7 linked regions of the Macaca mulatta genome follow. The protein of the gene in region 1 purifies or fractionates together with the protein of each later gene. This does not show direct contact. Links are inferred from orthologs where the notes say so. Each region holds a gene or a part of one and is shown in the gene's direction. Other genes may lie near its edges.

Region 1 (4,278 bases):
ACACAACAGGCCTGGTAAACATGAAAGTCCCCTCCTCCCATTAAGTCTCATGAGCAGAAAACACTACTTAGAACCCATTTATTACTTACACCTTTCAGGGAAGAACTTCAACTAGGGTTAGTATCTGAAGGGAGGCAAGGCTATACTCAAAACAGCTTTCCCATGGTCTCTTTCAGTCAACCTGTTGTATGGCTTGTCTCCTAAGACTGGAAGTGAACTCCAAATACCTTCTTGGTTCATCAGCTCATCTGAACCCCATAACCATTCCCTGAGGTAGTCTGGGCAGGCATTATCATTCCCGTTTTACACATGGGTAATCTCAAAAGCAACACAATGACTTGCTCAAGATCATACAGTTGGTAATGGTCCATCTGTGCCTGGAACTGAGGTCTTTCTGGCTCCAAAGCCTACGATCCTTCCACTGCACCACCATGCAGACTACTTTATTGAACACTTCCTATGTGCTGGGCACAACACCAGGCCCTTCAGAAGCATTAATCTCTGATCCTCAGATTGGAATTATCATTGCCAATTTATAGAATAGAAATTGAGGATGGGTGCTCACTTCGCACCACATATACTAAACTTAGAACGATACAGAGAAGATTAGCATGGCACTATGCGAAAGGATGACACGCAAATACGTGAAGCGTTCTATAAAAAAGTAAACAACAATAACAAAAATTGAGGACGGGGTGGGAGTTAAATGACTGACAAAGATCAATCAGACAGGAAGCGCAGAGCTAGAATTAGCGTGTAGCTCTCCAGCTACTCAATAGCAGGGATTCTGCCAACCCCATTTCGAGACGCTGACTGGTGACAGAGCTGATTCATAAACCTCGATCGACCCAAGCAAACTCAGTTTTAGAAAAAGGCTGGGCTTGGCCAGGCGCGGTGACTCACGCCTGTAATCCCAGCACTCTGCGAAGCCGAGGCGGGAGGATCGCTTGAGCCCAGGAGGTGGAGATCAGCCTGGGCAACATAGCGAGACTTTGTCCCTACAAAAAAGTGAAAAAAAAATTAGCCGGGCGTAGTGGTGCGCGCTTGCGGTTCCAGCTATTCGGGAGACTGAGGCGGGAGGATCGCTTGAACCTTGGAGTTGGAGTTTGCAGTGAGCTATGATCGCGCCACCGCATTCCAGCCTGGGCGACAGAGTGAGACCCCCGTCTCGATTAGAAGGGGGGGAAAAAAAAAAAAAAAAAAAAAAAAAAAAAAAAAAGGCTGGGCCGCGCCTGCGCACTAGCCATAGGGCCGGGGAGGTCAACCCGAGGGCGAGAGTGCTGTGGTGCCAGAGAAGGCGTGTCTGTTTCCCAAACAACCACTGTCCCCACGGTGCTTGTCTGTCCCAAGGTTGGTCGGTATGACGCGAGTGACGGCGTCTTTTAGCCAATCACCGCAGAACTCAGGCTGTTGCCGGGGTGAAGCGGTGTCCGCCTCCCCCGGAAGGATATTTGTAGGTGGGTGGGACCGGAAGTGACGCTACAGGGGAATGCTATGCTCTGGGAGTGTTGATGTTTTCCAGTCATTCCGGCTGACAGCGTTCAAGTTGGAAGCCTGGAGGGGAGGTGTTTTTCCTGTCGTACGTGGGACAGGCCACGCTGTCCGTCCGCAGTACCGACGACTGCGAGTCAGAGCTTCGGGGAGAAAAGTGAAGAGCAAGACGGGACCGACGGGGAGAAAGGCTGGGAACCAGGGTGTCGACTTTGACTGAAATTTGAGACGGAGGGCACCGGAGGGCGAGCACTCGCCTGTGATTGGCCCGTGGGCGTCGTCGAGGACCCACGCAGCTGCTCAATTGGTTGGTGTTCGCAATTGTTGTGGCTGCGGCGGCGATTTTGCCCACGTACTTCCGAGCAAGGGGCGGGGCTGTGCCCTGGCGCGCGTGCGCAGCGCCCCGGGGCCCCACCCGGTAGTGCAAGAACCTGCGAGGGGGCGGAGCGAAGAGGTGCTTGTTTTGGTTCTGTTTCCTTTGAAGCAGAAGGCCGGAACAAGCGTAGCAATAAATTTGCTGGACTTGGAGAGAAGGTTCCGACAAACTCGCCGCACTGCCTTCATCTTGGACTTTACATCCGGGTTCTCCTCCCGGCGTGACCCGCGCGCCGCCGCCGCCGCCGCCGCCGAGGGTTCTCGAACCGGTGCCGCGATCCCTTTATCCGGGTTTCGCCGTTCCCGTCGTGCTTAGCGCACTACATTAGCCCCCCCTCATCCGGGTTCTCTCCCGGCGTGCCTCGCGCCGGGTTTGTTGGGGGGTACTCGGCGGTGCAGCCATGACTATACTCCCCAAAAAGAAGCCGCCGCCTCCCGACGCCGACCCCGCCAACGAGCCGCCGCCGCCCGGGCCGCTGCCCCCGGCGCCGCGGCGCGGCGGGGGTGTGGGCGTGGGCGGCGGCGGCACGGGCGTGGGCGGCGGCGATCGCGACCGTGACTCCGGCGTCGTGGGGGCCCGTCCGCGAGCTTCGCCACCGCCTCAAGGCCCGCTACCAGGACCGCCGGGCGCACTTCATCGCTGGGCGCTGGCCGTGCCGCCTGGTGCAGTGGCGGGTCCCCGGCCACAACAGGCTTCTCCACCTCCTTGCGGGGGCCCAGGTGGTCCCGGCGGCGGTCCCGGCGACGCGCTGGGCGCAGCGGCGGCGGGTGTGGGTGCCGCGGGCGTGGTGGTGGGTGTGGGTGGTGCCGTAGGCGTGGGCGGCTGCTGCTCCGGGCCTGGGCACAGCAAGCGGCGACGTCAAGCTCCCGGGGTTGGCGCGGTTGGCGGGGGCAGTCCCGAGCGTGAGGAGGTCGGCGCAGGCTACAACAGTGAGGACGAGTATGAGGCGGCTGCAGCACGCATCGAGGCTATGGACCCTGCCACTGTCGAGCAGGTAAGAGCTGCGGGATGAGGGGTGGGCGGCTACGGCAGATGGGACCCCCAGACTGTGAAGAGCCTCAAGGAAGGCTGTTTGAGATCGCCCCAAGGGATTTAGGCGTTTTCACTGGGCCTGATAGTCTTCTCTGGTGGTAGGGGTGTGAGATGCCTTCTTTCCTCCCCTCCAGGGATTTGGGGCTAGAGGTCTACGATAAGGTGGCAGACTTAAAGATGGGATCCGAGGCCTCTTTTAGGGTCTGTAATCGTCATTTCAGTCCTTGGGACCTCATCTTGTAGGGCCAATAGGTGGGAATTCTCCAAGAGACACAGGTAGGATCGCGCCCCTCTTGAGCAGGAGTCTCAGGTCTTCCAAAAGACCTAGGTCTGTGTTCAGTGGCTTAAGAGCTCTTTTCCTTTGGGATAGAAGTTTGAGATTCCTCCTCCAGGAAAGTCAAATAAGGTGGAGACCTCAGAGATCGGGTCTGAACATCCCCAAGGAGCCTAAGCCCTTTCAAGAGTCTAAGACACTCTGCATGTAGGACAGTCCTCTCCTGCTTCGCTAGGTAACACGGCACAGGACCACTGAATAGCCAGACCTGAGACCTCAAGGGTCCTAAGTCTGTCTTCAGGGGCCTGAGAGTCCTTATTGTAGAATCAAGGTCCTGACACACACAGACACACACACACACACACACACACCCTTTAAGGACAGGGATCTTCTAAGCTTTTTCCAGGGATGTAAGACTTTTCGCAGGGAGATATGATTCCCTTGCCCTTGGGGACAGGGACCGAAACCAACACCCAAGGACCAGCAGCTTTACTTGAGTACAAGAGACTCATCCGCTTTCTGAGTGACAAAGGTCTGCATTTCCTATCAGTGGCTGAGACCTACCTCTTCGGAGACAAGGCCCTGACTCTCTTCAGGATCTTAAGCTTCTTGTAAGAAGAGATGGGCCCTCAGCACCCCCACCAGGGGCCTGAACCTTTCTTCAGGAAAATGAAGACTCACAGCGTTGGATCCTAGGGCCTAAGATCTATCTGCTTATGGACTGAGGTTTTTAGAGACCGAGTCTGAGGCCTCTTTGGGGGCGTGGTGTTCTGCTGCAAAGGTCTCAGACAAGGTGAAGCCTTAGGAGATTCTTCTTCTTAAGACTAGTGTCTGAGTGGTTTTGGGGGTCCGAGACTCCCTACCCCACAAGCATATGTGACCTTTTTACCCCAATTATAAGGGACTGAAACATACCTTGGGGATACAGTATCTCATTTTCCCTTTTGTAACAGGGGTTTGAGGCCCTCCCCTCTTTGGGCCTAAGCTTCTTGTCAGGGACATATGACCCTTGCCTTGGGAACTTGAGCCTGAGACTACTCCTCAGGGGACATGGGCAACATGGGATCCCAGAGATCATGTCTGGGGCCTCCCTACAGATCTCTGC
Region 2 (3,500 bases), on another chromosome or scaffold:
TCTGATATTTAGAATGTTCCACTGATTTTAGGGAGTATATGTATTTTAACTATTCTCAGTGAATCATATAAGCTTTCAGTTGCTGCTCATTCCTTGGGCACTTTTCCCTCATCTCTGTTAGAACTCCTGTTATAGCACTTAACTATACTTCATTGCCACCCCTATAGTCTGGGAACTCCAGTATATAAACAGTGAAGACAGAGACCAGTCTGACTCGCTCTGTTGTATCTCCTGTGCTTTGCAAGACAGATGCCTGGCTCTTAGTAAGTCCTCCATAGTGATTAATGATTGTACCTATTATAGCTCTCCCTTCATCTGCCTCTCCATACCGTAGGAAGCACTCAAACACTTGCAGTCACTCAATGAATGAAGTTCCTTAATGGTAGGAAATCTTTTTTTTTTGTTTTTGTTTTGTTTTTTGTTTGTTTGAGACGGAGTCTTGCTCTGTCACCCAGGCTGGAGTGCTGTGGCCGGATCTCAGCTCACTGCAAGCTCCGCCTCCCGGGTTCCCGCCATTCTCCTGCCTCAGCCTCCCGAGTAGCTGGGACTACAGGCGCCCGCCACCTCGCCCGGCTAGTTTTTTGTATTTTTTAGTAGAGACGGGGTTTCACCGTGTTAGTCAGGATGGTCTCCATCTCCTGACCTTGTGATCCGCCCGTCTCAGCCTCCCAAAGTGCTGGGATTACAGGCTTGAGCCACCGCGCCCGGCCAGTAGGAAATCTTTTTGTATGCCAAGTTTCTATCTAATGAAACTGTCTTAACCTGTGAATTGAAAGTACTTTTGGGTGATGATGGATATGTCTGTGGCCATAATGGTGGTGATAGTTTCATGGGTGTATACTTATCTCCAAACTCATCATGAATTGTATACATTAATTATGTATGGGTTTTTACATATCAGTTATACTTCAATAAAATGTTTTTTTAGAAAGTACCTTGTGGCTGGGCCGGGCGCGGTGGCTCATGCCTGTAATCCCAGCACTTTGGGAGGCTGAGGCAGGTGGATCACCTGAGGTCGGGAGTTCAAGACCAGCCTGACCAACATGGAGAAACCCCGTCTCTACTAAAAATACAAAATTAGCTGGGCATGGTGGCACATGCCTGTAATCCCTGCTACTTGGAAGGCTGAGGCAGGAGAATCGCTTGAACCCAGGAGGCAGAGGTTACGGTGAGCCAAGATTGCACCATTGCACTCCAGCCTGGGCAACAGGAGTGAAACTCCGTCTCAAAAAAGTACCTGGTGCATTTTGTATCGTTTAGACATTGGCTGAATTTGGGCTAGATAATGGTGACAATATATTAAGTACTTTATGAAAAATTGCCTTTAATTAGGCATATCTACATATTTTATTAACTTCTCTTACGTCACACAACTAGTGAGTAGCAGAGTAAGAACAAGGTCTTTCAGACTCTTAAGGACTAGTATCTAGAGTACTAATGTCACTGTGGAACTTTAATGGAACTATCCATTGTATATTTAGATTATTGATTTTTGCTTTTTTCAAGGTAAGATTATATTTTGTCTTGATGCAGATTTTAATTTTTTGTTTGTTTCTTTATTCTCCTTTCCCCATCTCACCCAATTAATTTTGTTAAATCGATTTAAGAAACATTTAAATGTCTCTATTCTCACGTGAGGCTTCAGGTGAGGTTAGAAGAGCACACTACTTTTATTAGAAGCAGGCTTTGGGCTTTCTAATCAACTTCATATAACTTTAGTACTTTCAGCTAGTTTATTTCTGAAATTGGCACATTCATGTGTACTATTTGGTCTCACTATATGGTACTTCATGTTATTGCTTTAAGCAGACTTCAAAATTTGCTTTTATTTACCAGAGCAAAAATTTAAATTGTTTTTCCTGTTCAGAAATTGAGAAGATTCAGAAAGGAGACTCAAAAAAGGACGATGAAGAGAATTACTTGGATTTATTTTCTCATAAGAACATGAAACTGAAAGAGCGAGTGCTGATACCTGTCAAGCAGTATCCCAAGGTAAGGCAAAAAGTGCCTTGCATCTTTGAGTTATCTTTATAGTTACGAGAGAGTCATGGACTCCTGGGGATTGTGATGCTTTAGAAACTTAAGCCTGTGAAGCTTCTCTTTCATGCTTGCAGTACCTGTTTCTGGCAATTGAAATATCTAAGTTCTTAACTAAACATAGTTATAGCCAGGAAGGAAATGTAATAATCTTTTTATTATCAAAAAGTTTCTTTCTCTAATGACTGCTCAGGCTACAAGTTCAAAGAAAAAAAAAAAATAAAACCTGAAGAGTTGCTCTCTGTCAAAAGACTAACCTGAAATCTAAATAAAAGGAAATATAATACAAATCCTCAATTGGATGAAGTTAATTTTATTTTCTTACTAAAAGTTTACTTTTAAGTAAATGCTTTTTTTCTTCCTTTTTTTTTTTTTCTTTTTTTAGGAAAGCAATTAGTTACATTTAGTTTATCCAGCGTGCTATCAAAGGGTGCTATATAGTCTCTTCTGCTCTGAGGTCACTGCGTTAACAATGTTTATGTATGTTAAGGCATGCATAAACAGGCACAGTGGCTCATGCCTGTAATGCCAGCACTTTGGGAGGCCAATGCAGGCAGATTACTTGAGCCCAGGAATTCAAGACCAGCCTAAGCAACATAGCAAAACCGTATCTCTACAAAAAATACAAAAATTAGCCTGATATGGTGATGTGCACCTATAGTCCCGGCTACTCCAGAGGCTGAGGCGGGAGGATCACTTGAGCCCAGGAAGTCGAGGCTGCGGTGAGCCATGATCATGTCACTACACTTTGGCCTGGGCAACAAAGTGAGAGCCTGTCTCAAAATAAAGTAAAAAATAAAATAGTAAAGGTCTTAGTGTATTATGGAAGATGGCCAGAATACATCAGAAAAGCCAAATTCAGGTCTAGGAACTGCCACTTTCTAGTTTCATAATCTTAAACTAATCACTTTATTAATATGGCTTCAGCGTCCTTCAGTAAAACGGGAATGGTAATACTCTACCTTTGCAGGGTTGTTTAAAATCAAATGAGGTAATTTATGTGGAGATGTTTTTATATAGTAGCATGTATATTTAGAAATCCTTTATTTTCTGTCAGTTCAATTTTGTGGGGAAGATTCTTGGACCACAAGGGAATACAATCAAAAGACTGCAGGAAGAGACTGGTGCAAAGATCTCTGTGTTGGGAAAGGGCTCAATGAGAGACAAAGCCAAGGTAAGCTCACATTAGTGAGGCAAGAGGACATCCTAATGCCTTCTACTTGCCCAGAATGCAGTATAGATGCCTTATAGAGGCAAGAATATTGTGTATGTACAGAATGTGGCTCCTTTAAGTGTGCATTGGGTGCAAGAGATTATACACCAAGTTAATTTACTTGCTTGGCAACCCTGGAAGAGCCTAGGTGTGCCCTGGTGATAGTTTTCTTTTGGACTTTTGACTGCATAGTAATGGACAGAGCAGTAGCATCTTGTGCATTGGTAGGATTGTCTGGGAAAACTTGAAA
Region 3 (3,958 bases), on another chromosome or scaffold:
CCCAGGAAAAGCACTGCAGTGGCTCTTCTGTTTCACAAAGTGAGTTTAGGGAAAGACGTGCCGCAGGGGGTTCATTTGCACTGCGAGAACATCATTCATGCAAGAAATACTGAGTACCTACTATGTGCTAAACAGCGGGCTGGGCTTTTCATAAGGAATAGAGATACTCAATTGAATGCCAATTCATGAGCTATGAAACACATTCAACTGTTTCTTAGGGTCAGATTAGGACACAAATGCTAAACAGTCTTCCTGCGCCTCCCCCTGGAGAGGAAATGAACTAGAAAATGAAATTGTGCCAGTAAAGCGCTTAGCCGGGTGCCTGGGACATGGCAAACCAGTCCTGAAATAAATGTTTTATTAATAGCAATCTTAGCTAATTAAAATACATAGCGTTTATTGAGCGTTGGGTATCAGGCACGGTGCTAATTCTTTTAGATGTCTTTAGTTCGTTTTAGCCCACCTCAAACAAGAGTGGTATTGATCACCTCCGATTTACAGACGAGGAAACTGAGGCAAAGAGAAATCTTAGTAGTTAGTAGAAGTGCACGCAGTGTGGTCAAGCTAGCAAGGTGTTTTGTCCACTGCTGTATCTACAAAACCTCTAACAATGCCTGGTGCATAGATGCTCAGTATGCATTTGTGGGATCAGTGATTCCGATGCCTGCTTCTTATAAATCTTTTTATTTTGAAATAATTGCAGGTAAGGAGTTGAAAAACAGTATAGTGGTCGCGAGTGTCCTTTTTCCTTCTGCTTCTCCCAGGGATATCGGCTTACATAACAACGCCCAAACCGGGAAATTGACTTGGGTAAAATCCACAGACTCTATTCACCTTGCAATGTGGCTTTAATAGAAGTGCTGGACATTTTGTAAGCTGATATCGTTGCTATGGTTCTTATTCTCAGCTAAAACGGCGCTCTTTGCTTTGTGCACCTGAACACTGCATACCGAGGGCGACCACCATCCCCGAGACGCCCAGACTGTATCCTAAAGCAGCCTCGCCAGCGCCGAATGGGTTAACGGGGGAGGTGTGCGGGAACGCCTCCGTGCGCTTGCGCGGCGTCGCTTCGCCCCGCCTCCGCAGCGCAGTCACATGACCCGCCCAACCGGCGTCCGCCTATAAAGTGCTGAGTGTTGACGTCAGCGTTCTCTTCCGCCGTCGTCGTCGCCATCCTCGGCGCGGCTCGCTTCATTCGGTTCTACCTGGGAGAATCCACCGCCATCCGCCACCATGGTGAGTAACCCTGCCTCGCTGGTGTCCCGGAACGGCGGCGGGACCTCCGCGGGGCCGACGCTGCCTAGACGCTGGGGCCGCCCGTGCCGGGAGGAGACGTAGCGGCGGCAGAGCCGGAGGAGCCGGGGCTGGGGCAGCGGTCGCCGCCATGTCTGTGCGCCGCACTGTTCACGGAGCCCCTTCTCCGCTTCCGGGGGCGCCGTAACCTTGCCCAGACCTGGCTGGAGCTGGGGTGTTAGGGAGGATGGGGGTGGGGTATGATGATGTGGCAGGCGTTGTAATGGCGGGCACCGCGGTGGAAGCGGGGAGACGGGGAGGCGCCTTATGTAACTCGCGGGCCGCGAGTTTGAGATCGATTTTCTGCCGGGGGACTAGGGGCGGCAGGGAAATGGCAGAACCAGCAAAGCGACACCTGAAAGGTTCCCCTTTTCCTCCCAAATATCTTCTCCTGATGCTGTTAACTGTCGGCCCTAGGCGCTTGTCCTTGTGACTCCGAAATGTGCAAAGACTCGTTTTGAGACACGAGGTGTAGGCTTGTGGCTGTTAGGGCCGTTCCGGCTCCCCGTTATCTCCTGGGGTGGGTGGCCTTGTGTGATCCCTCTTGCCGAGGGGTGACCTTGCATTTTATTATGACAGTTTTTGGTCGGGGAAGCCTGGGTGGCCCAATGACAACGTGGAGGGGGCTTTGGGAGAAGGTTCACCCCTTACGTGTTTGGCCTCTAATAACTCTTTAGTGTTTATATTCGGTATCAAGGAAATCTGTTGCCACTGAGTTTTATTTCTGAGCGCTTTTATTTCTGGGTTGTCCGTTCTGGATGACATCTGTTGACAGTGGATCCTTGGAGATTGTGGGGTAGTTCTCAAGGCGTGTTAGGCTGGCAGGATTGGGTGGGCTTCGGGTACCCCAACACCAGTCCCCTCCTGGCCTTGGGCATGCTGGTTCGTTTGGACCGAACGCTCCATGCCAAGCCGTGTTCCTGGAAATCTCGAGCTGGTCTGAGCCTCCCCTTCTTGCCCAGGTGAACTTCACGGTAGACCAGATCCGCGCCATCATGGACAAGAAGGCCAACATCCGAAACATGTCTGTCATCGCCCACGTGGACCACGGCAAGTCCACGCTGACAGACTCCCTGGTGTGCAAGGCGGGCATCATCGCCTCGGCCCGGGCCGGGGAGACACGCTTCACTGACACCCGGAAGGATGAGCAGGAGCGTTGCATCACCATCAAGTCAACGTGAGCTCCCTGTGCCCTCTGTACCCAGGCAGGGAGGTGCTGGCCTGGCAGCTGGAGGCCACTGGGCCAGGGTGGGCGGGGAGAGACTAGGCAACGTCTCTTTCTCCTGGTTTCTTAATTCATGGGAGAATGAGTGAGGTTCAGTCCAGCGAGACGGGGATTAAGAGTCACAGGGATTGGGGGTACTGCGAGCCGGAAGATTTTCTTGAGGAGGGGCTTCACTCAGTGGTTCTCCTTCCCTGGGGGACTTGCCGCCACTCCTACAATATCTGGAGGGGTTTTGCTGTCACACCTGGAAGGGGGGGTGTTTCTGGCACTCAGGATGCGGAAAGCTCTTGTGTTGCACTGGATGGCGTTCATTCCGTGACAGTTTCTGGCCCCTGACGTGAGTGGGGTGAGAGTCTAAAACGTGAGCGCAGAGCACAGTGATCCCAAATGCCTTTTGTCCTGGGTTGGCACCATAGTGAGGGTCTCTGGCTAAAGCTCTTCATTTTCACTGGAGCAGGGGCAGAAGTGAGGAGGGAAGGGTCAGAGTCTCTGAAGGCTTTTGCTGTCCTGCGGGGTCTTTTCATTGCTACTTTGAGTCAGGTGTGATGAGTCTTGGGGGGACCAAGTCGGTGGGGCAGAGTGTCTGGTCAGGAGGGCTCTGAGTCGCTGGCTGTGGGGCTGGTACCAGGAGTTCCCTGTGGGGGGGGCGGGGGGCCTGTCTTGGACAGAGTATTGTGGAGGCAAAGGACAAGGGTGGGTTGGGTCTTGTGGGTGGGTTGGGTCTTGTGGGAGCCTCTCAAGGGATGAGTCATGGAGGGAGGAGCAGCCTGGCTTCTGACAGGATCCCAGCCTCCCTGGGCCAGGTGTGTGCATCCTGTCCCCCTGATGGATCCCTCCCTCCATCAGTGCCATCTCCCTCTTCTACGAGCTCTCGGAGAATGACTTGAACTTCATCAAGCAGAGCAAGGACGGCGCCGGCTTCCTCATTAACCTCATCGACTCCCCCGGGCACGTCGACTTCTCCTCGGAGGTGACCGCTGCCCTCCGAGTCACTGATGGTGCATTGGTTGTGGTGGACTGCGTGTCAGGTAAGCAGCGGGTCCCCCTGAGGCAGGGCCTAGAACCCGGGGCCTTCCCTGTTTGAGGATGACAGCGCCGCCCCGTGCCCTGCATCCCTAGGCGTGTGTGTGCAGACGGAGACAGTGCTGCGGCAGGCCATTGCGGAGCGCATCAAGCCTGTGCTGATGATGAACAAGATGGACCGTGCCCTGCTGGAGCTGCAGCTGGAGCCCGAGGAGCTCTACCAGACCTTCCAGCGCATTGTGGAGAACGTGAACGTCATCATCTCCACCTATGGCGAGGGCGAGAGCGGCCCCATGGGCAACATCATGGTACGGCCCTCCCTGGCTGGGTGGTGTGCCCGCCGCAGTGGGCACCGCAGGAGCTGGCGGGGAGCGGAGTTGAGCTGAGGGGACTGGAAGTGTGTTTTTGCCAGGAATG
Region 4 (3,500 bases), about 33 Mb from region 1:
TTTGTATTTTTAGTAGAGACGGGGTTTCTCCATGTTGGTCAGGCTGGTCTTGAACTCCCGACCTCAGGTGATACACCCGCCTCGGCCTCCCAAAGTCCTGGGATTACGGGTGTGAGCCACCGTGCCTGGCCAACCTGGCAAATTTCTAATTTTATTTCTTATTCTACCTTTGGATTGACTTGTTTGCCTTCACAATGATTAATTTAGCACTTAATATGTACTAGCCCTGATGATAGCTGCTAGGGATGTGAGGTTGAGTGTGATCTGACTCCTGCTCTCCAGGACCTCATTGGCTGGATTTTAAATTTTATGGAAACAGGGAAACTGACAAACAGAACCCCTTCTCCATTATAACCCTGATGTTTATATTTGATTATTGGATACTAGTGGTCAACATCTTCTTTGGTTCATTGTAAATTGTGTTCAACAGCTGTGTCTGTGCACCATTTAAGGTTTTGAAGAAGGACTGCCAAAGCTGATTTTCAGTTTTAATCATAGAGGAGCTGTTGAAATGTCTTCAAAGCCATTTTATGAGTGAGACCTCAACTTCTCAGACCAGTGGAGCTGACAGGTTTTATTTATATTAGTACGAGTTATCTTGGCATGAACCTGAAATAATTGATGCTTGTCTTAAAGGAATAACATGTTTCTTTCTCTCTTCTTATTTTCCAAAAAAGAAGACTCAGCCAGGTGTGGTGGTGCAGGTCTGTAGTCCCAGCTACTTGGGAGGCTGAGGCGGGAGGATCACTTATACCCAGGAGTTTGAGGCCGCAGTGAGCCATGATCTCACCACTGCACTCCAGCCTGGGTGGCAGAGCGAGACACTGTCTCTAAAAAAAAAAGAAAGAAAAAGACTCCTTTCATTAAAACAGGCAAAAACAACTTTGCACATCTCATAAATTTGCTGCTGCTTCCATTTCAGCATAAAGTATTGTTATGGGTGATATTTTCCCTTTTATTTGGGGCAACAGTTAACTTCAAACTTTTCCAATAGTTGTATTGAAAGTTTCTGAACACAATAATGATGGTGACCTAGAGGTATGGTAATGGGAACTTCTGAATTAGCAGAGAGACTGTAGTACCACTGTTGACCACGTGAGGGCAGAAGCGGATAATGTTTAAAGTTGGCTTCCTTTTCGCATTCACTATTATTGACCACCCCCCCCAGAGAATCCCCATCAAAACACAGGACGGAAGCATACGGTTTAGTTTAAGCGCAGACCTCTATTTTTCCTTAGAGAAAATAAATGATTTTTAAAAATTAGATTTTGGTGCCTTGTATTTAGTGGGTACTTAGACTCGCTTCTTCACTCCTGCCAAGTTCCTGATTGCATGTGATGTTTTCATTTCGTTGAGTTGTTGTTGTTTTTTAAAGAGACAGTGTCTCACTCTGTCCCCTAGGCTGGAGTGCAGTGGCATGATCATGACTCACTGTAGCCTGGACTTCTCCAGGCTCAAGCAATCCTCCCACCTCAGCCTCCTGAGTGTCTGGGACCATGGGTGCCGTGCCACCATGCCCAGCTAATTTTTTATGTTTTTGTGGAGGCAAGGTCTCACTTTGTTGCCCATGCTGGTCTCAAACTCCTGGGCTCAAGTGATATGCCTGCCTCCCAAAGTGTTGGGGTTACAGGCGTGAGCCACTGCACCCAGCCCTGGCTTTGGTTCTGTTGTAATTTTGGTAACAGGTGCTAGAACACCGTTACTTAGGGCTTATATTGAATTTCAGGACCTTTCTGTCCTGTCCTGACTACTAAAGTAAACCTCCAGTGCTGCCTGCAGGGTACTGGGCTTATGCCCTCATGGGGCTTACAGTCTAGTGGGGTAGAGAGCCAGGCAACAAAGACGGAAATGAAATAGAGGCAACTTGTGCTGAGTTCCTAGGATGCGTACAGTGCTGTGACAAGGGCTAGTGGGATGTAGGCTGCTGTAGGTGGAGGGGTGGGGTCAGAGTCCGCCCTCCAGGGAGGATGCATCTCTCTTGGACTGGAGGATAAAAAGAGGTTGCTGTAGATGAAGAAGGAGGGTAGGAGGCCTTGAGGGGCAGGAAGGAAGAGCATGGAGTACCCAAGAGGCCAGTGGGGAGGGGACCGGATGGCACTGGAGACTCAATGCAAGGGCCAGGTCCTGAGAGCCTTTTGTTGGCTGCATTAAGGAGATTTGATGTTAGTTGTTTTTTTTTTTTTTTTTGAGACGGAGTCTTGCTCTGTCGTCTAGGCTGGAGTGCAATGGTATGATCTCGACTCACTGCAACCTGTGCCTCCCGGGTTCAAGCGATTCTCCTGCCTCAGCCTCCCGAGTAACTGGGACTACTTGGGTGTGCGCCACCACGTCCAGCTAATTTTTGTACTTTTATTACAGAAGGGGTTTCACCGTGTTAGCCAGGAAGGTCTCCATCTCCTGACCTGTGATCCGCCCGCCTCGGCCTCCCAAAGTGCTGGGATAACAAGCGTGAGCCACCGCACCTGGCCTTGTTGTTAGTTTTAATGAAGCAGTGGGCTACTGAAGACTATACATGTGGAGAAATCTTTTATGAAGTTTTATTTTTTATTTTTATATTTTTTCAGAGACAGGGTCTTGTTCTGTCAGCTAGGCTGGAGTGCGGTGGCATGATCACGACTCACTGCAGCCTTGACCTCCTGGGCTCAAGTGATGCTCCTCCCTTGGCTACGAAAGCACTGGGATCACAGGCGTGAGCTGACACACCCAGCCACAATTTAGTGATTTTGAATGTATTTATAAACCTCTGTGTAACCATCAAACTTTAGTTCTCATGCTCGGTTTATTAAGAACTCTTTTTATTAGCTTGTGTACTGTGAGAGATGTGTGGTCATTTGTGTCTTTTTTTGTTTGTTTTCCATTCCCAGCTGGGAGGCACCATTGGAGACATCGAAGGAATGCCGTTTGTGGAAGCGTTTAGACAATTCCAGTTTAAGGCGAAAAGAGAGAATTTCTGTAATATCCATGTTAGCCTTGTCCCACAGGTGGGCTTTCCAGATAAGTATGTGGACAGCAACTTTGATAAGTTTTCCTGTGATATTCTATGTGTCCCGCATTTGAACGTGGGGCACCGTTAATCATCAATAGGAGCTAGTGTCCAGTGTGCTGACGGGACCCCATTTTTTTTCAGCTCAGTGCTACCGGAGAACAAAAAACCAAACCCACCCAAAACAGTGTCCGCGCGCTGAGGGGGTTAGGCCTGTCTCCAGATTTGGTGAGTTGAGGACAGTGGGTAAGTCTATCCCAAAGGTCTCTGGGAGCAGGCCCTTCACTTCTTTTTTGTTTGTTTGTTTGAGACGGAGTCTTCCTCTGTCACCCAGGTTGGAGTGCAGTGGTGCAGTCTTGGCTCATTGCAACCTCTGCCTCCCGGGTTCAAGCTATTCTCTTGTCTCAGCCTCCAGAGTATTTGGATTACAGGCACATGCCACCACACCTGGTATTTTTAGTAGAGACGGAGTTTTGTCATGTTGGCTAGGCTGGTCTCGAACCCCTGACCTCAGGTG
Region 5 (3,500 bases), about 2.8 Mb from region 1:
AATAATTCGGGGCAAGAGGACCCGCAAGGTGAGATCCCTGCTAGCTTCACTTTGCTTTGGGGCTCTCTCCTTTCTTCTCTGAGGGTGTTCGTTTGTTCAAAACAATGTATGTAACTGTATTCAGCTAGGCTATAGGCCATTTGAAGAGAATGTTTATTCCTGTCCTCCGGGTGTTCACAAACTGATGGGGAGATAATACATGGGCACAAATAATATATACAACCTGTATGTAATTCAGTTTACATTGTGTTAGTAACTACCGTGTGTTAAGCCTTGAGCTAGGCACATTCACACGGGTTGTCTCATAAAATCTTAAAGGCACCTCCTACCAGGTAGGGATCATAGTCCCAATTTTACAGAGAAGGAAATTAAGTGGCAGAGAAGTGAAGTGACTTGAGTGATTTGTTCAGGGTGGTACAGACAGAGCCAGTGGTGGACATAGGAAGAGGAGAAGCCTCAGTCCCCATCTTTGGTTTGTTCCTGACCTGGTTCGGAGATGAAACTCCTGCCTGGAAGACAGTGAAAGACAAACCCAGGACTCAGGGTGACCAATGGCTAGTGGGTCAGGCTGTCACTACAGGTGAGGGTTTAGAGGGCATTCCTGGAATAGATAAGGTAAGGACACAGAACCCACTGGTGATTCTGAACTTTTCTTCTCTCTGATGATACAGATTAATAACTTGAATGTTGAAGAGAACAGCAGTGGGGATCAGAGGCGGGCCCCACTGGCTGCAGGGACCTGGAGGTCTGCACCAGTTCCAGTGACCACTCAGAACCCACCTGGCGCACCCCCCAACGTGCTCTGGCAGACGCCGTTGGCTTGGCAGAACCCCTCAGGCTGGCAAAACCAGACAGCCAGGCAGACCCCACCAGCACGTCAGAGCCCTCCAGCTAGGCAGACCCCACCAGCCTGGCAGAACCCAGTTGCTTGGCAGAACCCAGTGATCTGGCCAAACCCAGTAATCTGGCAGAACCCAGTGATCTGGCCAAACCCCATTGTCTGGCCTGGCCCTGTTGTCTGGCCGAATCCACTGGCCTGGCAGAATCCACCTGGATGGCAGACCCCACCTGGATGGCAGACCCCACCAGGCTGGCAGGGTCCTCCAGACTGGCAAGGTCCTCCTGACTGGCCGCTACCACCCGACTGGCCACTGCCACCCGATTGGCCACTTCCCACTGACTGGCCACTACCACCTGACTGGATCCCCGCTGATTGGCCAATTCCACCTGATTGGCAGAACCTGCGCCCCTCGCCTAACCTGCGCCCTTCCCCCAATTCGCGTGCCTCACAGAACCCGGGTGCTGCACAGCCCCGAGATGTGGCCCTTCTTCAGGAAAGAGTAAGAGCTGTAACTCCCCAGTCACTTTTCCCCTCTCTTGCTCTTTTCTTTGTCACCCTCTCATCTATAATTCAACCAAGATTTTTTGTAAATATCTTATAAGTTTAATGATTTCCTTTTTCCCTCCCAGGCAAATAAGTTGGTCAAGTATTTGATGCTTAAGGACTACACAAAGGTGCCCATCAAGCGCTCAGGTAGGCATCCGTGTCCCCTCCCCAAGCTCTACCCTTCCCTTCACTCCATGCTCTGTTGGTGTTCTTCTGCTTGTATGACCCTTCCCCTTCTGTCCCCTCCTTTCCATGGTTGGCTCTTTTCACCCTTGAGGACCTTGACTGTGCTACCCACAGGCTGGCAAAGGGACTGCTGCTCTGTGGCCTCCACTCGGCTCAGATGGCTCCCTCCTCTCTCTTACAGAAATGCTGAGAGATATCATCCGTGAATACACTGATGTTTATCCAGAAATCATTGAACGTGCATGCTTTGTACTAGAGAAGGTGAGAAGGCAGCCCTGGGGGACAGGAATAATGGGGAAAGTTGATTTCAAAGATTCATGGGGTTCCTATTGGGAGTTTAGGGCAAGTCTCAGGGAGGTGAGTGTCTGCCTATGGGTAGCTTATGCTAGATGTTGTAATTTCATGGTCTGTTTTCTTGTCCCTGTAGAAATTTGGGATTCAGCTGAAAGAAATTGACAAAGAAGAACACCTGTATATTCTCATCAGTACCCCCGAGTCCCTGGCTGGCATACTGGGAACGTAAGATGGGAAAGAAGGTGGAGCATGGCCTTTCTCAGTGGTGCTTTTTTTCTAGGAGTTTCACATAGATCAGGGTCCAGGGTTCAGGGTCACATAGCAGGTCATGGGCAGAGCTGGGGTATAATTCTCCCCTAGCTGAGGAATACTGGGGAGGCTAGATGGGTAAGCTGGTTGGGGTCTCTCATGCAAATGGCTGCTGAAAATACATTCTTTCTATATTCCCTTAGGACCAAAGACACACCCAAGCTCGGTCTCCTCTTGGTGATTCTGGGTGTCATCTTCATGAATGGCAACCGTGCCAGTGAGGGTGAGTGACTGGACCTGCAGCTGGGGGTTGGCCACAGCCTGATTTCCATGCTTATTTTCCGTCCCTTGTCTCCCCTTGCCTCCCATTGCAGCTGTCCTCTGGGAGGCACTACGCAAGATGGGACTGCGTCCTGGGTATGATTGGGCTCTCTCATCTCTTACCCGTTTGTACCATCCTTTGGCAACAGTGGATGGTCCCAGGATTGCATTAACCTGGGGGTCTGGAGGGTTTGGTTTGGGGATGTTCAGAGCCCAAAGATGTAACCTGGGTGGATGGGGGAACAGTTCTGAACTCTCTGCCTCTTTTCTCATCTCTGACCTCTGTTCTGGAAAGCTCTTTGGGCATAGTAATAGCCTCTGATTGTGGATTTCCTTTTTTTACCTTCAGGGTGAGACATCCCCTCCTTGGAGATCTAAGGAAACTTCTCACCTACGAGTTTGTAAAGCAAAAGTAAGTGATGCCTAAGGGGCTTTTCCTGCTCCCTATGATTCTGCCTGTGTGCTGGTCAGCTTTAGAAAGCCCTTCCTGGACAGGTACAATGGCTCACGCCTGTAATCCCAGCACTTTGGGAGGCTCAGGTGGGCAGATCCCTTGAGCCCAGGAATTCAAGACCAGCCTGGGAAACATGACGAAACCCCATCTCTACAAAAAATACAAAAATTAGCCAGGCGTGGTGACATGCACCTGTAGTCCCAGCTACTTGGGAGGCTGAGGTAGGGGAGAATCATCTGAGCCCAGGAAGTTGAGGCTGCAGTGAGTTGTGATCATGCCAACTGCACTCCAACCTGGGCAGCAGAGCGAGACCCTGTCTCCAAAAAAAAAATAAAAGAAAGCCCTTCTCAAGCTCATTTCTTACACTGTACCTGTGCATATGTGTTTCTGTGCGTACAGAAACGTGTGTCCTCAGGAGTATTTATTGCATATACTCCTCGTGGTTAGATTCTTTCTTTTCTTTTCTTTCCTTTTCTTTTCTTTTCTTTTCTCTTCTCTTCTCTTCTCTTCTCTTCTCTTCTCTTCTCTTTTCTCTTCTCTTCTTTTCTTTTCTTCTTTTCTTCGAGATGGAGTTTCACTCTTGTTGCCCAGGCTGGAGTTCAATGGCAT
Region 6 (4,090 bases), on another chromosome or scaffold:
CAGAGTCTGAATTAAAGAGCTGATGTCCGGTCTCCTAGTGGAGGTAGAAGGCTGGGCTAATACCTGTCACTAGCACTTACAGAGGTGTGAATTTGGTAAATCATTTCATCTCTGAAGTGGTTTCAGCATTTGTGAAAAGAGGCAACTATTTGCCTAACACAATGTTGAGTTCAAGGTTATTCATAGCTCCTGCCAGAGATGCATTTGCTATTTTGTGTTAATGGAAAAGGATTTAAAAATTATGATATATTTAAACACGGTGCTACCAAATGTGCTTAAAATGCATTCAAACTGTATTCTTTTAATGAACTTTAATATTCTCAACTAGTATCAATGCTTTGTTATTATTAAGTATTGACTTCAATATTTCCCACCCCTCACCGCAACTCCTAGCACACACGCACTCGAAATGCTCTAAAATGGTATTTATTGAGCGCATGTGACTAACACCACAGCCACCTAAGCCCTGACTTGCCGGACACGAACGGACAATTAATTGGAATGACTGTAACAGCGTTTCTGTAAACAGTGCTTCCTAGCGGCTTGCCCAGTGTCTAGCGCTGCACAGTCAGGAGTTAACCACTCCTACGACACCGGCCGCCACACGGTGAGAAGCCCGGGAAAGACGCGCCACACTCCCATGTGATAGTTTCACTTGTCTTTTTGGTTAGTTCTGCTACCCTAGTTCACGTCCCCGCGAGAGGAAACGTATTCCACCTCACATTAGACAGAAGAGCCTCGATTCACCGTGGAGCCTGACAAAAGGGCACTCCAGCGACTGAGCTGCTCGGACTTGGCACAGGCAGGGTCCAGCCTACTCGCTGCCGGCGCGGCGTCTCAGCAACACCCCCTCCCCCGGAAGTTTGTGCGTCTCAGATGTAAGGTCTGGGAGTCACCTTGACCCTTCCCGGAGCGGTGGGGAAAGTTAGCCTGAGCCCGAGGGAGCGTGAGTGAAACCAAAGAGCACTTTCGCGAGTCAGCTACGCCGTCACGTTTTTCTGGTTTCAGGGTAGCTGAAGACCTACAGAGTTTAAGGGCGACCAGAGCAGGTGGCAGGACTCCGCCCACCACCACGCTTCCCCTCCTTCAGCTCGCACGCTTCACTCCCTTCTTGGGGTCCCGCCTCTCGGGCGCGCGCGAAGAGTTGTCGCGCGGTGCATCCTGGGAATTGTAGTCCCAACGCAGGGAGTCGCCTCAGGAGAAACTACTCTGGCCTACACACCCCACAGTGCCTTGCGGCGCTGGCCGCTCCCGGATGTGTGCCTGGCGCCGGAAGAGAAGACGGCCCCCCTCTCTCGGCCCGGCCATCTTGTGGGAAGAGCTGAAGCAGGCGCTCTTGGCTCGGCGCGGCCCGCTGCAATCCGTGGAGGAACGCGCCGCCGAGCCACCATCATGCCTGGGCACTTACAGGAAGGCTTCGGCTGCGTGGTCACCAACCGATTCGACCAGTTATTTGACGACGAATCGGACCCCTTCGAGGTGCTGAAGGCAGCGGAGAACAAGAAAAAAGAAGCCGGCGGGGGCGGCGTTGGGGGCCCCGGGGCCAAGAGCGCAGCTCAGGCCGCGGCCCAGACCAACTCCAACGCGGCAGGCAAACAGCTGCGCAAGGAGTCCCAGAAAGACCGCAAGAACCCGCTGCCCCCCAGCGTTGGCGTGGTTGACAAGAAAGAGGAGACGCAGCCGCCCGTGGCGCTTAAGAAAGAAGGTAAAGCAGGGGCAGAATGTGGGGGAGACTGGGATGGAGGGAAGGAGCGAGAGGGCTGCCGGCTACCACTTGTTTCTGGAGCTCCGAGGGTCCGCGGGAGACTTTGCCGCCTATTTCCTCACGTTTCTTCACGCGACAAAAGCCAGGTCCTGCGAAGGTGCCAGGAGCGTGGTAGCCCCAAGTTGAAGCCACCGCCGGCGAGGCTCTCGGAGCCACCCCCTTCCCGCCTTAGGTTGTGAGCGGAGGAGCGTGGTCGGAGATGAGCTGCTCCTCGAGCGCGCTCGGGGTCCGGGGAGGCTGTTGCCTTCCCGCCGGATTCCTTGGCGGGCGAGCGCATGGACTGAGGTGCGGGGAAGCCGGCCGCTCACCGACGCTTGCCGTAGTTACGGAGGGGCTCGGGGTCCATCGCTGCTTACTGCGCAGAGCTGCTCCTTTGAGGTGCTGTTGTTTCAGGCTCCTGTCCTGCCATCTTGTCCCACGACGGCGCGGAGTATCCCCGCCGAAAAGCAGGGGGTCGTTCCAGGCCATCGGACGTGTGGAGTCAGCCGCAGGTTGGGGTGCCGCGTGTGCTTTATTGTTTCTCCTCCACCTCTCAACTGTTAGGACTTTCTCAGAACTTGCTGGGGTGAGTTGAGCTGTTGGGAAATGGAGGAGTTTGGCCACACTCGACTAAGCAGAAGCGGGAATTATGAATGAAGACTGGTGATCGCAGGACGTCCCGAGGAAAGTCCTCGAGTCACGATCCTCTCTCTCTCGACTCCCCAAACTGAGTCTTTCACATGGTGGACTCTGGGCCTCGTGGGTAAAGTGAGTGCAGAGGCTGTCACAGCGTTAGTCGCAGCAGAGCTCTTTAGAGTCTGCAGCTTTTTTTTTCCCCCTCCACATGTGCGTGAAGCATGGTGAGAGTTTCACTGGCGGTTAATAGTTGCTTCCAGGGCACTGTGAGTTTCACAGGATTGTCTTGATTTTTGCATTCTCATTACCAGTTTGTTACGGATGAAAAAGAGCAAGTAGTTCGAAGATAAGAACGTGCATGATCAATAGCAAGCAGGTGTCGGACCTAAGGTCTGAATCTTTAAAGCTGTATTTATATGTTGAAAGTTGAAATTACCCCTTCCTGCCACGTGCTTCTCTGAAAGGAGTTCTCATTAGCTTTTGTTGACTTCTGTGACATTCAACTAATTTTGAAAATCAAAACAATTTCCTCGTGGTGGGATTTGTTTTAGGAGGTTTATTGGTTTTTGTGGTTTTTTTTTTTTTTTTTTTGAGGACTTTTATGAGGCTTAGAATGAAGAACCTCGGTCCTAGGTGGTGAATGAAAGAAAATAATTCTTGTGGTAAAATTATAGGTTGAGGAGAAACACAGTTGGAGTATTAGAAAGCATGTACATCACTTAGGCCAAGTATCTCTTCAGCCAATTAAGCTTTATGGCAATCTAACACACCTAAATAAATCATTTAATTCGTGTGTTAAGTAACGCTGACTTGTGTAATTATTTAAACTATGCTTAAGCTTAAGAAAGTAAACCAAAAAGTTGAGTCTGACGAATAGTGTGTACCAGGTAGATGTGTTCACTCATTTTGAATGTTCAAAACATGAAGCATGTTTAAATGCCTGAGTTATTTTGATCATGAAGCCCATCTAAGAAATAAGCTCTTACCTGAAAAGTATTTTAAGTGACAAATGTGGGGAATGATTTCATGAAGTTAGAACTAAGACTTAAGTTCACCATTCAATAAGTCTTTCCATGGGAAAACTATTCCATATTAGCAATCAACATTTTCCTTAGGTCAGTATTTCAGAGCACTCTTATTAAGTTGCATAAAATACAAGCATGTAAATACAGGAAAAGTGTTGAATGGACAATACCCGTTTTGAGATTCTACTGTCCTATTTACTGGGAATATATCTGTAAACAAAATCCCTGCAGATAGTAGGAAGGTTAACCTGATTGTGTTCTGTGGTTTTGACAACACATTGTGACATAATGCTTGACATACTTTAGACAGATATTTAATGTTTATGTTTTATGAATTAATTTTGTAGCTTCTCTTGCCCATTTGAAGAACTTGAGAATTGATAGCAGAATGTCATTGAGAGTGTAGACCAGGAATTTTCTAAAACAGAATGGATGCCTGAAACTAGTGCAGTTAATGAGCTTGCAGGTTATACATAAGTATATCAAAAGAAGCTTGCATTTTTAAATGTCAGTCTTTTTCATTAGGTGAGTTTAATCTAAGTTTCTAAGATTCTGTAAGCTTAATATTGATATTGGGTGGGGACGCCAACTATTGTTCACTTGGGTGTGTGTGGCTTGGATATTATTGCAAGGACTGGCTCCTTAACTCCACCCCAGTACACTTTATTACTGATGACATTTATTT
Region 7 (4,285 bases), on another chromosome or scaffold:
GGCACAAGATCAGGAGAAACAGGCAGGAAGCTACTAGAAGCTGGCAGAAGAGAGTCAAGAGAAATTTATAGGAGGCCTTCAGGAGAATTAGGCCAAAGACTCTCAGGAGAGTTCAGCAGACAGGAACCAGAAGAACTAAATAAACTTTCAGAAGTGGGCAGAAGAGAGCCAGAAGAACTGGGAAAAACACAATTTGGGGAAATAGGAGAAATGAAAAAAACAGAAAATGAGATGGAAAAGGAGTATGAATGAAGACACCGGTAGGGATAAGGATCAGGAAGTTGGTGTTCAGAGGGATAACGGGATCTTATTAAACTGGATTTTCAAGCGATTTATCTGTAATAGGAAAAATGAGGGTTTTACTTGTGCTGCTTTCCGTCACTATTTTGCCATTAAATAGGTGTCTTTCACTCTTGCAAACCCTGAGTCTGTCACTTTGTCTCCTCACCCCTGCCCATTCTTGGAAGAGCCTCGTGGAGAGAAAGGTGCCAAGAAGAAAGGGTTTCAGGAGGGTGAAGATACAGGAGCTTCAGGGAATGAGAAGTCACAGGGAGGAGGAGAGGGGAAGGCCTGGGAGGAGAGGTGCTTCCCAGACACCGGTGACTGACTGAGTCCTTCCAGTGCGCAGGACACCGGGAGGCTTTATGGATGGAACAGTGGTGGGGTGGCCCCAGCTAGCACAGGCAGGAGAATGCCCCAAGCCAGAACTAAGCGAATGCTGGGACTGAGGCCAAAGATAGGGGAGTGGCCTGGGAGGGCAGACAGACTCCACCTCTGACAACTCTGGGTGGCACAATCAGGTAAATCAGGCTCGCCAAGCTGGCTTCTCTGAACAATGGGATACCTGCCTCAGGGGTTGCTGCGAGGACTGAGTGCTTAGCACAGCACTTGGTACAAGAAACTCAAAAATCCAACGGAGCTCTCAGTGGTTTCACAGAGGTGGTGGCAGCTGAGCATCTGGCCTCAGAGGATGTTAGGATTTCACTCCGTTACTCATCTGTCCCTTTGGCCATTGCCATCCTGGTCTGTCTCCACAACTTCTAGAAGGAAAGGTCGGGGCTGAGACTGACTTTCGGCTGGCACAGGGACCGGACGAGGTCAGTGAGGCATTTCAGATGCAGAGTTTACCGGGATGCCAGCAAATTGCATAATACTTTAATCCAATGTGGTTTAAAAAAAAGTTTTTAATTAATGCAAAAGTCCATGATGAATAAAATATCAAAAATTAAAGATAGGATCCAACCTTGCACGACCCTGCTTCACTCACTTCCTGCTAATCCACGGGACCGGGGAGGGCGACTGAGTTACCCCTCGACACACAGAAAAAGGTAGCGGCCGTCCAGCTCGCAGGCGCAGTGAGTGGGTGCGCGTGGCGCGGCGGGCGCGCGCAGGGGGCGGGGCCGGGCCGGGGTTCCCGCGCGCGGCGGGAGTTTCGGGTTTCGGTTCGCAGCGCCTGCGCGCAGAGGGGACGGCCCGCCCCGGCCCGCCCGGGTGCCCGCTCCGCCCCCGGGCTATGTAAAGCGGCCGGGCTCGGGTCGTGCCACCGCTGGACTCCCGTGTCCCTCCGCGCAGGCGGGCGGCCCCGGAGCGCTGGTGCCGACAGAGGCGGCGACGGCGGCGCCCCTCCTCATCATGGTGAGAGGCCAGGCGGGGCCGGGCACGGGGTAGCACCGGGGCAGGAAACGAGTGTCGGGGCCCCTCGGCAGGAAGCGTCTTGCAAACGAGGACCCGGGGCTCCGGGCTCGACTTCCAGTTGTCTTGGTACTCAGGGCAGCCCTGAGGTCTGGAAGAAGCTGGGCGGGGGGTTCGGAGTGCCGGAGAGGCCGCTGGAGAGGGAAACGGTAGCGTTCCTCAAGAGGGGACTCGGGACCGTCTCATCACGCGGAACCGCTGCCCCGCGCCCGGGTGCGCGCGGGAGGCGGAGCCAGTTCGGAGGAGGGGACCCTTTACGGTAAAAGCTGCCCTCTCTTGTGGCTTCTAGAAGATAGGAAAACAAGTGGCTCCGAGAGGCGGTTCAGACACACAGCACAGCGGCGGGCAGAGCTGGATCCTGATTGCAGGTGCCCTGTGCTGCCTTGTCCTGGACAGGCACAAAGACCACGACTTTGTGGGGGCCGGGAGAGGGTAGAGGAGGAGGTGGCAGGCTCGGTGAAAGAGGGCCTTTGTCCAGTGCTCTCCTGCCCTGCCCCCCACCAGCCCTTCTGTGGGACCATTGTCCCCGCATGCCAGACAAGAGAGTATTATCTCTTGCGGCCATTGTTGGGGGAAGGGAGGCAGTCTTGGGGTAACCCTTCTCCACTCCCCACCCTTCTCTGTGCACTCAGCCGTGGCAGCTGTGGCTTGGCCCAGACACAGAGACCCCCACCTCCAAAGAAGACGTCCTTAGTAGGTGCCAAGCATATAAGAGTGAGGCCAGTCCCAGAACCGCAGGCTCCTGGCACGCCCTGCATGCCTCCAGCACGTTTTCCTTTCCGAGGTGGCAGCAATGGGGAAAGCGCACGCTTAGGAGAGCTTCAGACAAGCTTCCCTCTTCCTCCTCCACGACCAGAAGCGGAAAGGTGCTCCCGGACCGAAAGGGACAGAAGGTCCAGCACTGCCCTGCTTCGGAAGGCACCCACACCCAGTCTAGGGACTAGGGGTAAGGCCGGCGGGGAGCCCGCGAATGACCTGGGCTGACATCTCTTCCCCTCCTTACACAGAACAGAGGCTTCTCCCGAAAAAGCCACACATTCCTGCCCAAGATCTTCTTCCGCAAGATGTCATCCTCAGGGGCCAAGGACAAGCCTGAGCTGCAGTTTCCCTTCCTTCAGGATGAGGACACGGTGGCCACGCTGCAAGAGTGCAAGACGCTCTTTATCTTGCGCGGCCTGCCAGGAAGCGGCAAGTCCACGCTGGCACGGGCCATCGTGGACAAGTACCGTGATGGCACCAAGATGGTGTCGGCCGACGCTTACAAGATCACCCCCGGCGCTCGAGGAGCCTTCTCCGAGGAGTACAAGCGGCTCGATGAGGACCTGGCTGCCTACTGCCGCCGCCGGGATATCAGAATTCTTGTGCTAGATGACACCAACCACGAGCGGGAACGGCTGGAGCAGCTCTTTGAAATGGCCGACCAGTACCAGTACCAGGTGGTGCTGGTGGAGCCCAAGACGGCGTGGCGGCTGGACTGTGCCCAGCTCAAGGAGAAGAACCAGTGGCAGCTGTCGGCTGATGACCTGAAGAAGCTGAAGCCTGGGCTGGAGAAGGACTTCCTGCCGCTCTACTTCGGCTGGTTCCTGTCCAAGAAGAGCTCCGAGATCCTCCGCAAAGCCGGCCAGGTCTTCCTGGAAGAGCTGGGGAACCACAAGGCCTTCAAGAAGGAGCTGCGACAATGTAGGTGGCAGGGTGGGGCCTTACTCATAAGCCTACCTTGCTGGGCACAGGGCGCTGTGGGCATAGGACCATAGGGTGGGGCACGAAGCAGCAGGAGGCAGAGAAAGGCTCACCTCAGAGCGGGCAGGGGCAAGCAGTATGTCCCAGTGGTAGCCTTGGGGAGTTGGCAGCACATTGGGAACATGGGGGCTTCCCAGAGCTCCTTTCCTCCTACTACACCTTTCCTTCTAGCCCTCTTCTCTCTGACACCCTTCTCCCAGGTTGAATGTAGACCACCGTCCCGTCTTGGAGGTCGGAAAAACTGTAGTAACAGGAAATAGTCCTCTTCTAATGTAACCTTAGAGGGGGAATCAAGCCCAGTGTTCTCCAACTCATTTTTAGCAGCAGAATAATGTTCCAAAATAATAATAATGACATGAAATTGTAAGCTGCAAAAAAATTAAAACTAGGACTATTGTGGCTTCACTGGGGATGGTTCTCAGGCCTTGGGCTACTTGATTTACTCATGGGTTTGTGGCATCTTACAGCTCCAGAGGACACACACTTAGGCCAAAACCTGTTTTCAGATGGAAAAACACGGGCCCAGGAGGGATGTGGGGTTTACGGGCTTGAACCCTGGACTCTGGCTACTCTAGCCGGGTTCTCTCTTGGCATGGGCTTTTTGCTCCAATGGTAAGTTTGGGATAAAGAGGGGTCCTGGTGGCTCTCCTGCAGTGACCTGTTGGAGAAATGTCACCCACTAATCCATCTATATGCCTTTAGGCCATTTCTGGTTGCCCCCAATTGTATTTATTTATTTATTTATTTTGACACAGAGTCTCCCTCTGTCGCCCAGGCTGGAGTGCAGTGGCACTATCTCAGCTCACTGCAACCTCTGCCTCCCAGGTTCAAGCAATTCTCCTGTTTCAGCCTC

What was found.
Region 2: the proteins of OTUD5 (region 1) and KHDRBS1 purify together in Homo sapiens (affinity purification with mass spectrometry, with the first as the bait; 3 studies listed by BioGRID). This does not show direct contact. The link is inferred for Macaca mulatta from reciprocal best matches to the Homo sapiens genes OTUD5 and KHDRBS1.
Region 3: the proteins of OTUD5 (region 1) and EEF2 purify together in Homo sapiens (affinity purification with mass spectrometry, with the first as the bait; 3 studies listed by BioGRID). This does not show direct contact. The link is inferred for Macaca mulatta from reciprocal best matches to the Homo sapiens genes OTUD5 and EEF2.
Region 4: the proteins of OTUD5 (region 1) and CTPS2 purify together in Homo sapiens (affinity purification with mass spectrometry; 3 studies listed by BioGRID and IntAct, with this or other methods). This does not show direct contact. The link is inferred for Macaca mulatta from reciprocal best matches to the Homo sapiens genes OTUD5 and CTPS2.
Region 5: the proteins of OTUD5 (region 1) and MAGED1 purify together in Homo sapiens (affinity purification with mass spectrometry, with the first as the bait; 3 studies listed by BioGRID). This does not show direct contact. The link is inferred for Macaca mulatta from reciprocal best matches to the Homo sapiens genes OTUD5 and MAGED1.
Region 6: the proteins of OTUD5 (region 1) and SERBP1 purify together in Homo sapiens (affinity purification with mass spectrometry, with the first as the bait; 3 studies listed by BioGRID). This does not show direct contact. The link is inferred for Macaca mulatta from reciprocal best matches to the Homo sapiens genes OTUD5 and SERBP1.
Region 7: the proteins of OTUD5 (region 1) and CNP purify together in Homo sapiens (affinity purification with mass spectrometry; 3 studies listed by BioGRID, with this or other methods). This does not show direct contact. The link is inferred for Macaca mulatta from reciprocal best matches to the Homo sapiens genes OTUD5 and CNP.

What each region holds. Positions count from the first base shown.
Region 1 is NC_133426.1:49,032,498-49,036,775, reverse strand, and holds the start of OTUD5 (OTU domain-containing protein 5), read left to right. Parts: upstream 1-1,478; 5' UTR 1,479-2,267; coding exon 2,268-2,861; intron 2,862-4,278. UniProt on the Homo sapiens protein: Deubiquitinating enzyme that functions as a negative regulator of the innate immune system. Has peptidase activity towards 'Lys-48'- and 'Lys-63'-linked polyubiquitin chains. Can also cleave 'Lys-11'-linked ubiquitin chains (in vitro).
Region 2 is NC_133406.1:208,851,414-208,854,913, reverse strand, and holds part of KHDRBS1 (KH domain-containing, RNA-binding, signal transduction-associated protein 1), read left to right. Parts: intron 1-1,867; coding exon 1,868-1,992; intron 1,993-3,094; coding exon 3,095-3,211; intron 3,212-3,500. UniProt on the Homo sapiens protein: Recruited and tyrosine phosphorylated by several receptor systems, for example the T-cell, leptin and insulin receptors. Once phosphorylated, functions as an adapter protein in signal transduction cascades by binding to SH2 and SH3 domain-containing proteins.
Region 3 is NC_133424.1:4,793,804-4,797,761, reverse strand, and holds the start of EEF2 (elongation factor 2), read left to right. Parts: upstream 1-1,158; 5' UTR 1,159-1,233; coding exon 1,234-1,236; intron 1,237-2,255; coding exon 2,256-2,470; exon of another isoform or gene 2,471-2,490; intron 2,491-3,284; exon of another isoform or gene 3,285-3,364; coding exon 3,365-3,546; intron 3,547-3,637; coding exon 3,638-3,849; coding exon of another isoform or gene 3,850-3,917; intron 3,918-3,958. UniProt on the Homo sapiens protein: Catalyzes the GTP-dependent ribosomal translocation step during translation elongation.
Region 4 is NC_133426.1:16,359,437-16,362,936, reverse strand, and holds part of CTPS2 (CTP synthase 2), read left to right. Parts: intron 1-2,864; coding exon 2,865-2,981; intron 2,982-3,127; coding exon 3,128-3,211; intron 3,212-3,500. UniProt on the Homo sapiens protein: Catalyzes the ATP-dependent amination of UTP to CTP with either L-glutamine or ammonia as the source of nitrogen. Constitutes the rate-limiting enzyme in the synthesis of cytosine nucleotides.
Region 5 is NC_133426.1:51,813,409-51,816,908, forward strand, and holds part of MAGED1 (melanoma-associated antigen D1), read left to right. Parts: coding exon 1-28; intron 29-671; coding exon 672-1,340; intron 1,341-1,470; coding exon 1,471-1,534; intron 1,535-1,754; coding exon 1,755-1,834; intron 1,835-2,000; coding exon 2,001-2,092; intron 2,093-2,319; coding exon 2,320-2,399; intron 2,400-2,490; coding exon 2,491-2,533; intron 2,534-2,786; coding exon 2,787-2,849; intron 2,850-3,500. UniProt on the Homo sapiens protein: Involved in the apoptotic response after nerve growth factor (NGF) binding in neuronal cells. Inhibits cell cycle progression, and facilitates NGFR-mediated apoptosis. May act as a regulator of the function of DLX family members.
Region 6 is NC_133406.1:173,177,831-173,181,920, forward strand, and holds the start of SERBP1 (SERPINE1 mRNA-binding protein 1), read left to right. Parts: upstream 1-1,290; 5' UTR 1,291-1,392; coding exon 1,393-1,705; intron 1,706-4,090. UniProt on the Homo sapiens protein: Ribosome-binding protein that promotes ribosome hibernation, a process during which ribosomes are stabilized in an inactive state and preserved from proteasomal degradation.
Region 7 is NC_133421.1:66,306,486-66,310,770, forward strand, and holds the start of CNP (2',3'-cyclic-nucleotide 3'-phosphodiesterase), read left to right. Parts: upstream 1-1,485; 5' UTR 1,486-1,632; coding exon 1,633-1,635; intron 1,636-1,714; exon of another isoform or gene 1,715-2,060; intron 2,061-2,483; exon of another isoform or gene 2,484-2,699; coding exon 2,700-3,372; intron 3,373-4,285. Other genes in the region: ODAD4 (outer dynein arm-docking complex subunit 4), read left to right, coding at 1-252. UniProt on the Homo sapiens protein: Catalyzes the formation of 2'-nucleotide products from 2',3'-cyclic substrates. May participate in RNA metabolism in the myelinating cell, CNP is the third most abundant protein in central nervous system myelin.